2 linked regions of the Canis lupus familiaris genome follow. Each later gene encodes a partner of the first gene's protein in a complex. Links are inferred from orthologs where the notes say so. Each region holds a gene or a part of one and is shown on either strand. Other genes may lie near its edges. The genes, in order: CSF3R and CSF3.

What was found.
Region 2: the proteins of CSF3R (region 1) and CSF3 are in contact, whole or in part, in a crystal structure (PDB 2D9Q), measured with the Homo sapiens proteins. The link is inferred for Canis lupus familiaris from reciprocal best matches to the Homo sapiens genes CSF3R and CSF3. Residues at the interface, in NP_000751.1 of Homo sapiens: Arg164, Arg190, Lys191, Leu193, Leu194, Leu195, Tyr196, Gln197, Asp220, Met222, His261, Ile262, Asn263, Arg311, Pro313, Leu314; in NP_000750.1 of Homo sapiens: Ser42, Leu45, Lys46, Glu49, Gln50, Arg52, Lys53, Leu141, Asp142, Asp145, Thr148, Thr149, Gln152.

What each region holds. Positions count from the first base shown.
Region 1 is NC_049236.1:5,900,504-5,904,403, forward strand, and holds the end of CSF3R (granulocyte colony-stimulating factor receptor), read left to right. Parts: intron 1-272; coding exon 273-413; intron 414-999; coding exon 1,000-1,149; intron 1,150-1,263; coding exon 1,264-1,404; intron 1,405-1,640; coding exon 1,641-1,734; intron 1,735-1,793; exon of another isoform or gene 1,794-1,925; intron 1,926-2,000; coding exon 2,001-2,082; intron 2,083-2,318; exon of another isoform or gene 2,319-2,503; coding exon 2,504-2,983; 3' UTR 2,984-3,645; downstream 3,646-3,900. UniProt on the Homo sapiens protein: Receptor for granulocyte colony-stimulating factor (CSF3), essential for granulocytic maturation. Plays a crucial role in the proliferation, differentiation and survival of cells along the neutrophilic lineage.
Region 2 is NC_049230.1:22,479,673-22,483,572, reverse strand, and holds the start of CSF3 (granulocyte colony-stimulating factor), read left to right. Parts: upstream 1-1,197; 5' UTR 1,198-1,506; coding exon 1,507-1,519; intron 1,520-1,631; coding exon 1,632-1,786; intron 1,787-2,208; coding exon 2,209-2,316; intron 2,317-2,456; coding exon 2,457-2,603; intron 2,604-2,958; coding exon 2,959-3,123; 3' UTR 3,124-3,900. UniProt on the Homo sapiens protein: Granulocyte/macrophage colony-stimulating factors are cytokines that act in hematopoiesis by controlling the production, differentiation, and function of 2 related white cell populations of the blood, the granulocytes and the monocytes-macrophages.

The sequences.
Region 1 (3,900 bases):
ACCCGAACCACCCTAGAGAAGCAGACTCCTCACTCTTTCTTGATCCTTTACTGTCCTCTCCCATCCCCAGAATCAGGAAGTTCTTCTTTCACCGTAACCCGTAACCAGATCTTCTCTTTTCACAGCCCTGACCCTCCCACCCTTCTAGCTCTCCCCACTTTTCTGCCCTCCCTCCCATCAAATGATCCGCAGAAGAGATAGAAGCAGCTAGCTCTGCAGCCTGAGGCCTGGGGGATCTGGGGTCAGCTCCTGATCATCCACGGGGGGGTTAGGCCCTCACCGGGGCGCCCTACCCCATTTTCTCTCCACAGAGAACATCAGGCCCTTTCAGCTCTACGAGATCACTGTGACCCCCCTATACCAGGACAGCGTGGGGCCCTCCCGACACATCTATGCCTACTCCCAAGAGATGGGTGCGTCAGCCACCAGGCCTCCCCAGAACCCTCTCCTCTCAGTGCCTGCTGGGGCCCCGGCCATTGGGACTATGAGGGAACATCCCCCCACCCCTGGCCCCAAAGAAGCTCTCTCCCAACCCCAACATTACCCCAGGCTAGCCCCAGACCTCTGCAGCCGGACAGGTCAGGCGGCCGGGTGACAGAAACTAGGGAGTGAGTTTGGCAGCAGGTCTGGCAAAAGTCCATCAATCACCCTTGAAAGAAATCAAGTGTCAGCTGCGGCAGAAATTAGACGGAGGGCCTGGCATAAAGTCAGAGGGCGAGGGGCAGAAATCAGACAGCGAGCCCAACTAAACCAAGCCGGTGGACGTGGGGTGGTGAGGCTTCGGAAGCAAAGAGAAGCGGGTTCCAGTCCCGACCTGGCCACTTATTAGCAGTCTATGGAATGCAGCTGAAGGTCCCGGCAACACCAGGGGGGCCGTTTCCTTACTCCTCAGCACAGTGTGTCTCAGTTCTGGGGTCTGGGGAGTCGCGAGGTGTCCAGCTGGGCTCCCCACTCTGCCCAGCTCCCCGGCAGCCCCTGTACCTCTCTCTCTCCCGGCAGCCCCCTCCCGCGCCCCAGAGCTGCATCTAAAGCACATTGGCAAGACCTGGGCCCGGCTGGAGTGGGTGCCCCTGCCCTCTGAGCTAGGGAAGAGCCCCCTTACCCACTACACCGTCTTCTGGACGTCTTCTGCTCGGGGCCAGTCCTTCTGTGAGTCTATCCTCAGTACCCCACAGCCCCAGAAGGCCTCGGGGGGAGCGCTCAGCAGCCGCAGAGGGAGCCTCGGCATCTGGGCCCAGGCTGACCATTCTCTTCTACTCCCAGCCACTGTGCTCAATGCCTCCTCCCACGGCTTGGTCCTCCACGGCTTGGAGCCCGCCAGCTTGTACCACGTCCTCCTCAGGGCTACCAGTAAGGCCGGCGCCACCAACAGCACAAGCCTTACCCTGATGACCTTGGCCCTAGGTAAGGCGAGAAGGGGGCCGGCCAGACAAGGTTGTTGGGAAGGTTCCTCGGCCAACGGATCTCTCATTTTGAGGCCTTGCCTGGATCCGCTGGTCTGAGGGAGGAGACCCAGACCTGCCCATGAAGCTCAGCCTGAGGGAGGAGGCCCAATCCTGCCCTCAGAGCCCAGTGTGACGGAAGAGGCCCAGCCTTCCTTGCGTGCACTCTAACCCCTTCTGGCTTTCCCTTCACCCCAGAGGAGTCTGAGCTGCATGTCCTCCTGGGCCTCTTTGGATTCCTGCTCTTGTTCATCTGTCTCTGCGGGGCTGCCCGGCTCTGCTGCAGACCCAGGTAAGTCCTTTTTTTTTTTTTTTTTTCAGGTGAGTCCTTTTAAGAGAATTAATACCTACCTGCCCCTGCCCACAGGGAACTGCAGGCTGGGGTGGGCCAATCCAAGTCCCTCCTCGCCCTCACAGGCCTCAGGGCCCACGTCTGGATCAGGCACTGCACCATCTCCTCTCTGCCCAAGGGGCCTTCCGCTGCTGGGAGTGGGTGAGAGAAAGGATGGAAAGATGGAGGGCAAGCCTGACCTGGCCCTCTCCTGTCCTCTTTTGCAGCAGAAAGAATCCTCTCTGGCCAAGTGTCCCAGACCCAGCCCACAGCAGCCTGGGCTCCTGGGTGCCGAGCATCATGGTGGAGGTGAGAACCCCAGAGGGAGAGGGAAATGGGGCCGGGGGGTGCTGGTCCAGGATCCAAGTGAAAGGAAACCCCTCCAAGGATGAGGACTCAGGCCTTCCCATCACTTCCTAGCAAGGTCCCCTCCCTCCGGAGTAAAGCAAATCTCACTTTGGATCCCAACTCTACCCATTTCAAAGCCTCGGCCATCTCACTGTGAAATGGGACATATCTCCCACACAATCCTTGGGGACAAGCACCTTAAGCTAAGTCTGAAGTGCAGAGCAGGTGTCAGAAAAGCATGAGGTGCTTCACAAGCATCATCCTCAGGGGTTCCAGCAGAGCGCAGCAGGAATATCTCAACTGTCCCCAACTCAGGAAGGGACACTGGTTGGGACGAATGTCTCAGATGAATCACGTCCTCACCCCCCGTCCTTGTGTCCAGGAGACCTTCCAGCTGCCCAGCCTTCGGGACACTGGCATGCCACCCATCACCAAGATCACAGTGCTGGAGGAAGAGGAGAAGAAGCCAGGGCCCTGGGAGTCAAATGACAGCTCAGGGACCTGTGGCCTCCCCACCCTGGTCCAGGCCTACGTGCTCCAGGGGGACCCAAGAGCATGTTCCACCCAGACCCAGCCCCAGTCCGGCACCAGTGACCAGGTCCTCTACGGGAAGGTGTTGGGCAGCCCCACCAGCCCAGGTCCAGGGCACTACCTCCGTTGTGACTCTACTCAGCCCCTCTTAGGGGGCCTTACTCCCAGTCCCAAGTTTTATGAGAACCTCTGGTTCCAGACCAGCCCCCTGGGCACCCCAGAGCCCCTCGTCCCAAACCAGGAGGATGACTGTGTCTTTGGGCCACTGCTTGACTTCCCCCTCCTGCAAGGGCTCCAGGTCCATGGGGTGGAGGGGCTGGGGGGCATCTAGCATCCCCTGGGACCCCCACTTGGGCCTGTCTCTTGAGAGGTCTGGGCCATCCAGAGGAGAGGAGAGTATTAGTAAGCCCATCATGCAAAAAACCACCTAGTCCCAGAAGGGCAGTAAGGCTACAGGGTCTCCTCCCCATCTCTGGCCCCCAGCATCCTTCGTCTCTCTCTCCAGTCCCCACAGGCTGGGCCCTTAATTTAGTGGCCACGGAATGCTTCGTCCAACCCTGCCCACTAGCCTCTTGTGCTTATTTCCTGTAATCTCAGTCTCTTAAACTGGTTCATGGTTTGGTTTGGTTTGATTTTGAGAAACTCTTGAGTACGCCCGCACCTCTGTCCTTTTCCTTTTTAGGGTCCTAGCAGTGATGGGGGTACTTATCAGAAGTGTTCATTTGCATATTCCTTCCTTTGCTCATTAATCCCCCCAGCCCTCACCCAGCATGTAGGCCCTGTGCTGGCAGCGGGGATTCAAAAATGACTTGGCTCAGTCCGCCCTCAAAGAGTTCGCATTCTAGTGGTAGAGACTCGAAGACTGCCCATTAGGGCAGAGTGGCCAGGACTGAGGCAGGGATCACAAAGTGCTGTGGGACAGGAGAAGAGACCTCAGAAAAGACTATCCTTGCTGTGTTGGAGAAAAACAAATAAAACCATCTACTGGGGCGCCTGGCTGGCTCAGTGTGTGGAGCATGCAAATCTTGATCTTGGGGTTGTGAGTTTGAGCCCCACACTGGTTGTAAAGATTACTTAAAAATAAAACATTAAAAAAATTTTTAAATAAAATTTAAATAAATAAATAAAACATTAAAAAACAAAATCTCCTGCCAACCTAGAAAACCTCTCCACCAGGGTGGAAGAGGATGAAATCAGTTTTATTACTGAATGAACATTAACCAAAATGTGATGGGCATCATCACCAAC
Region 2 (3,900 bases), on another chromosome or scaffold:
CACAGAGCTGGCCCCAATCAGCGCATGGTGACCAGCTACCCAGCGGGAGGTGGAAGTGGGGAGCACCCTGAGGCCCTGGGAGGACAGGGGACTAGAGGCAGGATGCGAGTCAACAGGTGAAGGCCCTGCCAGCTGTGGCCACCAGGGGGCACCCCCGCCCCAGAGATGCCCTCACCCAGACAGACACACCCACTCCTCATCAAAAGGTGTCCTTCCTTGGCTGGTGCTGGGGTAAATTGAGACAGAAAGTGACAGCCTTGGGCGTGGCAGGGCAGCCAGCTAGGCCGGCCCGTGGCCGTGGGAAACCTTCAAGTCTGATCTGAGGCCCAGGCTGCAACCCTGAGTCGGAATCGGCTCTCCTTGACCTTAGGCTAGGCCCTTCCCTCTCCGGCCCAGTTCATGGGGTTTAGAACCGAATCAGAGACTGGCGCGGTTCTGGGGTTTGGGGCTAGGGCAATTTCTTCTCTCTGCCCCCCAGCCGTTCTCCGCCTCAGGGCAGCGCACACTCTGGCAGGCAGTGACCGGGAAGCCACGTCAGGGACCTTCCCCCAGCTCCCAAGTGCTGGGACACCACTGGAGGGAGGGGGAGCGCAGGAGGAGGAGGAAGGGCAAGGTCAGGTGAACCCAGAGCCCCAGAACCTCAAGGGTCTTGCTTCATTTGGGACAGACATCCGGTTTCCTTTGGTTTCTGCCAGGATTCCGGGGGCTTGGAGGAATGAGTCATGGGGGGGAGTGGGGGGTTCCCAGCTAACCAGTTCAAGATAGGGACCTGGGATGGTGCCCATCAAAGTATGGGGTGGAGACAGGAGGCTAGATCCCAACGGCCCCATCTCAGGCCCCTGGCCTCTCAGGAGGGGGACTCAGGAAAGCAGCCTCTTGGGAGTTTGAGGGGTAGAAAGGGGGGCAACTAGCTTCTTCCCTCCAACTCTAGACTCTAGAGTCTAGGGAACAGGTAGCTCGGGGATCCCAAGGGGGGTAGCGCCAGGGGGCTACTCCCGCAGATCAGGCAGGGGAGGGAGGGAGGGAGGGAGAGAGGGAGGGAGGGAAAGAGGGAGGGAGGGAGGGAGGGAGGGAGGAAGGGGCTGTCCCTGGCCTGCCTGGGCAGTGTGGGCCTGACTGGCCTCCAGGCTCCTTGGCTCTTATCTGTGGCTCAAGCTCACTTAGTTCAGTGCTTCAGATCAAACACCCTGGGGCAATTCGGCCTGGGCGGGGCTGAGGGGAGGAAGAGTGTGAGGGGGATCAGACGTCAAAGAACGATCAGAGATTCCACAATTTCACAAAACTTTCGCAAACAGCTTTTTGTCCCAGTGCCCCCCTACATTGTCCTGACACCAAATTTGCATAAATCCTAGGAAATTATTACTAAGCCCTGGTCGTGGCACCAGGTAATTTCCTCCCGGGCCTCCATGGGCTCCTCTATAAAGGCCCTCTGGAGCCCGTCCCTGCCAGAGCCCAGAGCCTGCAGACCCACCCAGACCTTCGGCTAAGCCTGCAGCCCAGAGCCCCATGAAGCTGACCGGTGAGTGTCCTGGCCCCAGGGAGGGAGGCTGGAGTGGCAGAGGGCTGGGAGGGCCCCCGGGCCCTGCAGTGGACCGCAGGGCTCCTGAGCCCCCCACCCCATCTGCTCTCAGCCCTGCAGCTGCTGCTGTGGCACAGCGCACTCTGGATGGTGCAAGAAGCCGCCCCCCTGGGCCCTACCGGCCCCCTGCCCCAGAGCTTCCTGCTCAAGTGCCTAGAGCAAATGAGGAAGGTCCAGGCTGATGGCACGGCGCTGCAGGAGACTCTGGTGAGGGAGAGCACCGGAGGGGACCTCGGGGCTGGGAAGGGGGACCCAGAGCGGACAGCTGAGGGCAGGCACAGGGGGGAAGAGCTGAGGGTGGGAAAGGGAATGGAGAGAAGATATGATCAGGGAGGGACGTGGGAGAGGAGAGACCCAAGGGAAAGGGAAGAAACTCAGAGGTGGAGCCATGGAAGCCTGGCTAGGAACCGGGGAACAGAGTGCTCAGGGACAGGGCTCAGAGCAGCTGCTGGCTGGCGGGCCGGCCTGCCAGGATCGCTGTGGAGGGCAGGATGGGGCTGAGCAGCCTGGCAGCGGCCTGGGAGGGCTGGGAGAGAGGGGAAGACCTGGGAGAGACGGGGAAGGTTAGGAAACAGGAGCAGCCGTGGCCCTGTCAGGTGCCCCTCACTCAGCATCCTTACTGTCCCCAGTGTGCCACCCACCAGCTGTGCCATCCTGAGGAGTTGGTGCTGCTCGGGCACGCTCTGGGCATCCCCCAGCCTCCCCTGAGCAGCTGCTCCAGCCAGGCCCTGCAGCTGGTGAGTTTCTGGAGGGGAGGAGGGCAACAAGGAGAGGGAAGGATGGTCTGGAAGTCTCCCTGGACCCCCAGGCTCCAATGTGGGGCCCTGAGAGGAGCGTCCCAGGCAGCACGTCCTGACTCCTCTACTCCATCCCCCAGATGGGCTGCCTGCGTCAACTCCACAGCGGCCTCTTCCTCTACCAGGGCCTCCTGCAGGCCCTGGCAGGGATATCCCCCGAGTTAGCGCCCACCTTGGACACACTGCAGCTGGACACCACCGACTTTGCCATCAACATCTGGCAGCAGGTGAGCCTCATGGGAAGTGGCAAGCCTTAGGGGCCTGGATGGAGCCGGTCCCCAAAGATCAGGCTGCAAGCCTGGGATCCCGGTTCTTTAGGGCCAGGGTGAGAGCATTCCCAGGGTGTGTGTCGGGAGCTACCACTCCATCCCAGGCCCCTCTTGCTGCTGGCCCTTCCCCGCTCTCCCTGGATGAGGGCAGGAACCAGGTCACTGGACCCTGAAACAGACCTGGGTTCAAGGCCTGACTCCACCATTAACTGCGTGGTGTCACCTTCCATGGCCTGTCACCCCTTTGCATTTCCTTATTCAAAAATGCCCACTCAGCAGGGCCTGATTGCAGATCTCATCTTTCCCCCCACAGATGGAAGATCTAGGAATGTCCCCCGCCGTGCCACCTACCCAGGGCACCATGCCAGCCTTCACCTCGGCCTTCCAGCGCCGGGCAGGAGGTGTCCTGGTGGCCTCCAACCTGCAGAGCTTCCTGGAGCTGGCATATCGCGCTCTGCGCCACTTTGCCAAACCCTGAGCAAAACCCTCCCCAGCCAGTGTATTTATCTTTATTTAATATTTATGTTTATTTAAATCTAATATTTAAAGATGAGGACAAACAGAAAGGAGCCCTGCACTCTTGGGTCCTTCCTGCCGTCTCTGAGTTTCATTGTCCTGCTTTTGCAGGGAGAAAAGCCCCTGTCTTCCTGTCCCCTGGACGGGGAGGTAGATAGGTAAATACCAAGTATTGATTCCTGTGACTGCTCCCTGGCCTGGCTCTGTGGTGGGCACTGGGTAGAATCCCAGTGACCCCCTTACCCCAAGGGTACCCACCTTGAGGCCCATGGAAGCATCAGGAAGTCTTCCAGGTGGGAGACAAAACAACCCTGTTTAATATTTAAACAGCAGTGTTCCCCTACTGGGTGCCCCCCCACTCTGGCCTCACCAACTTGGCTTGCACGTGCCAGGTGGGCTGTCTCGCTTCTCCTCACGTCCCCTTCCCCACAGGCATCAAACCCGGCAGAGGCAGCCAAAGTGGGGAGGCTTGACCCTGGGGTCCCACGAATGTGCTGGGGAATCTAGTTTTTAAGACGTTTTCGGGAATATTTTGACTTCCAGTTATGGGGAGCCTCGGCATCACTCTCTCCTCTTTCTCGATGCCCTATGGCAACAATGACAAGATCCTGACACCTGCCCCACTCTCACCAGGGTCAGGATTCTGACCCTTCAAGGGCTGGCCAGCGGGTCGTGTGTTGGCCCTACTGAGGGGGACTGGAAGTGGGGAGGGAAAGATGGGGGGGTTATGTGACACGTG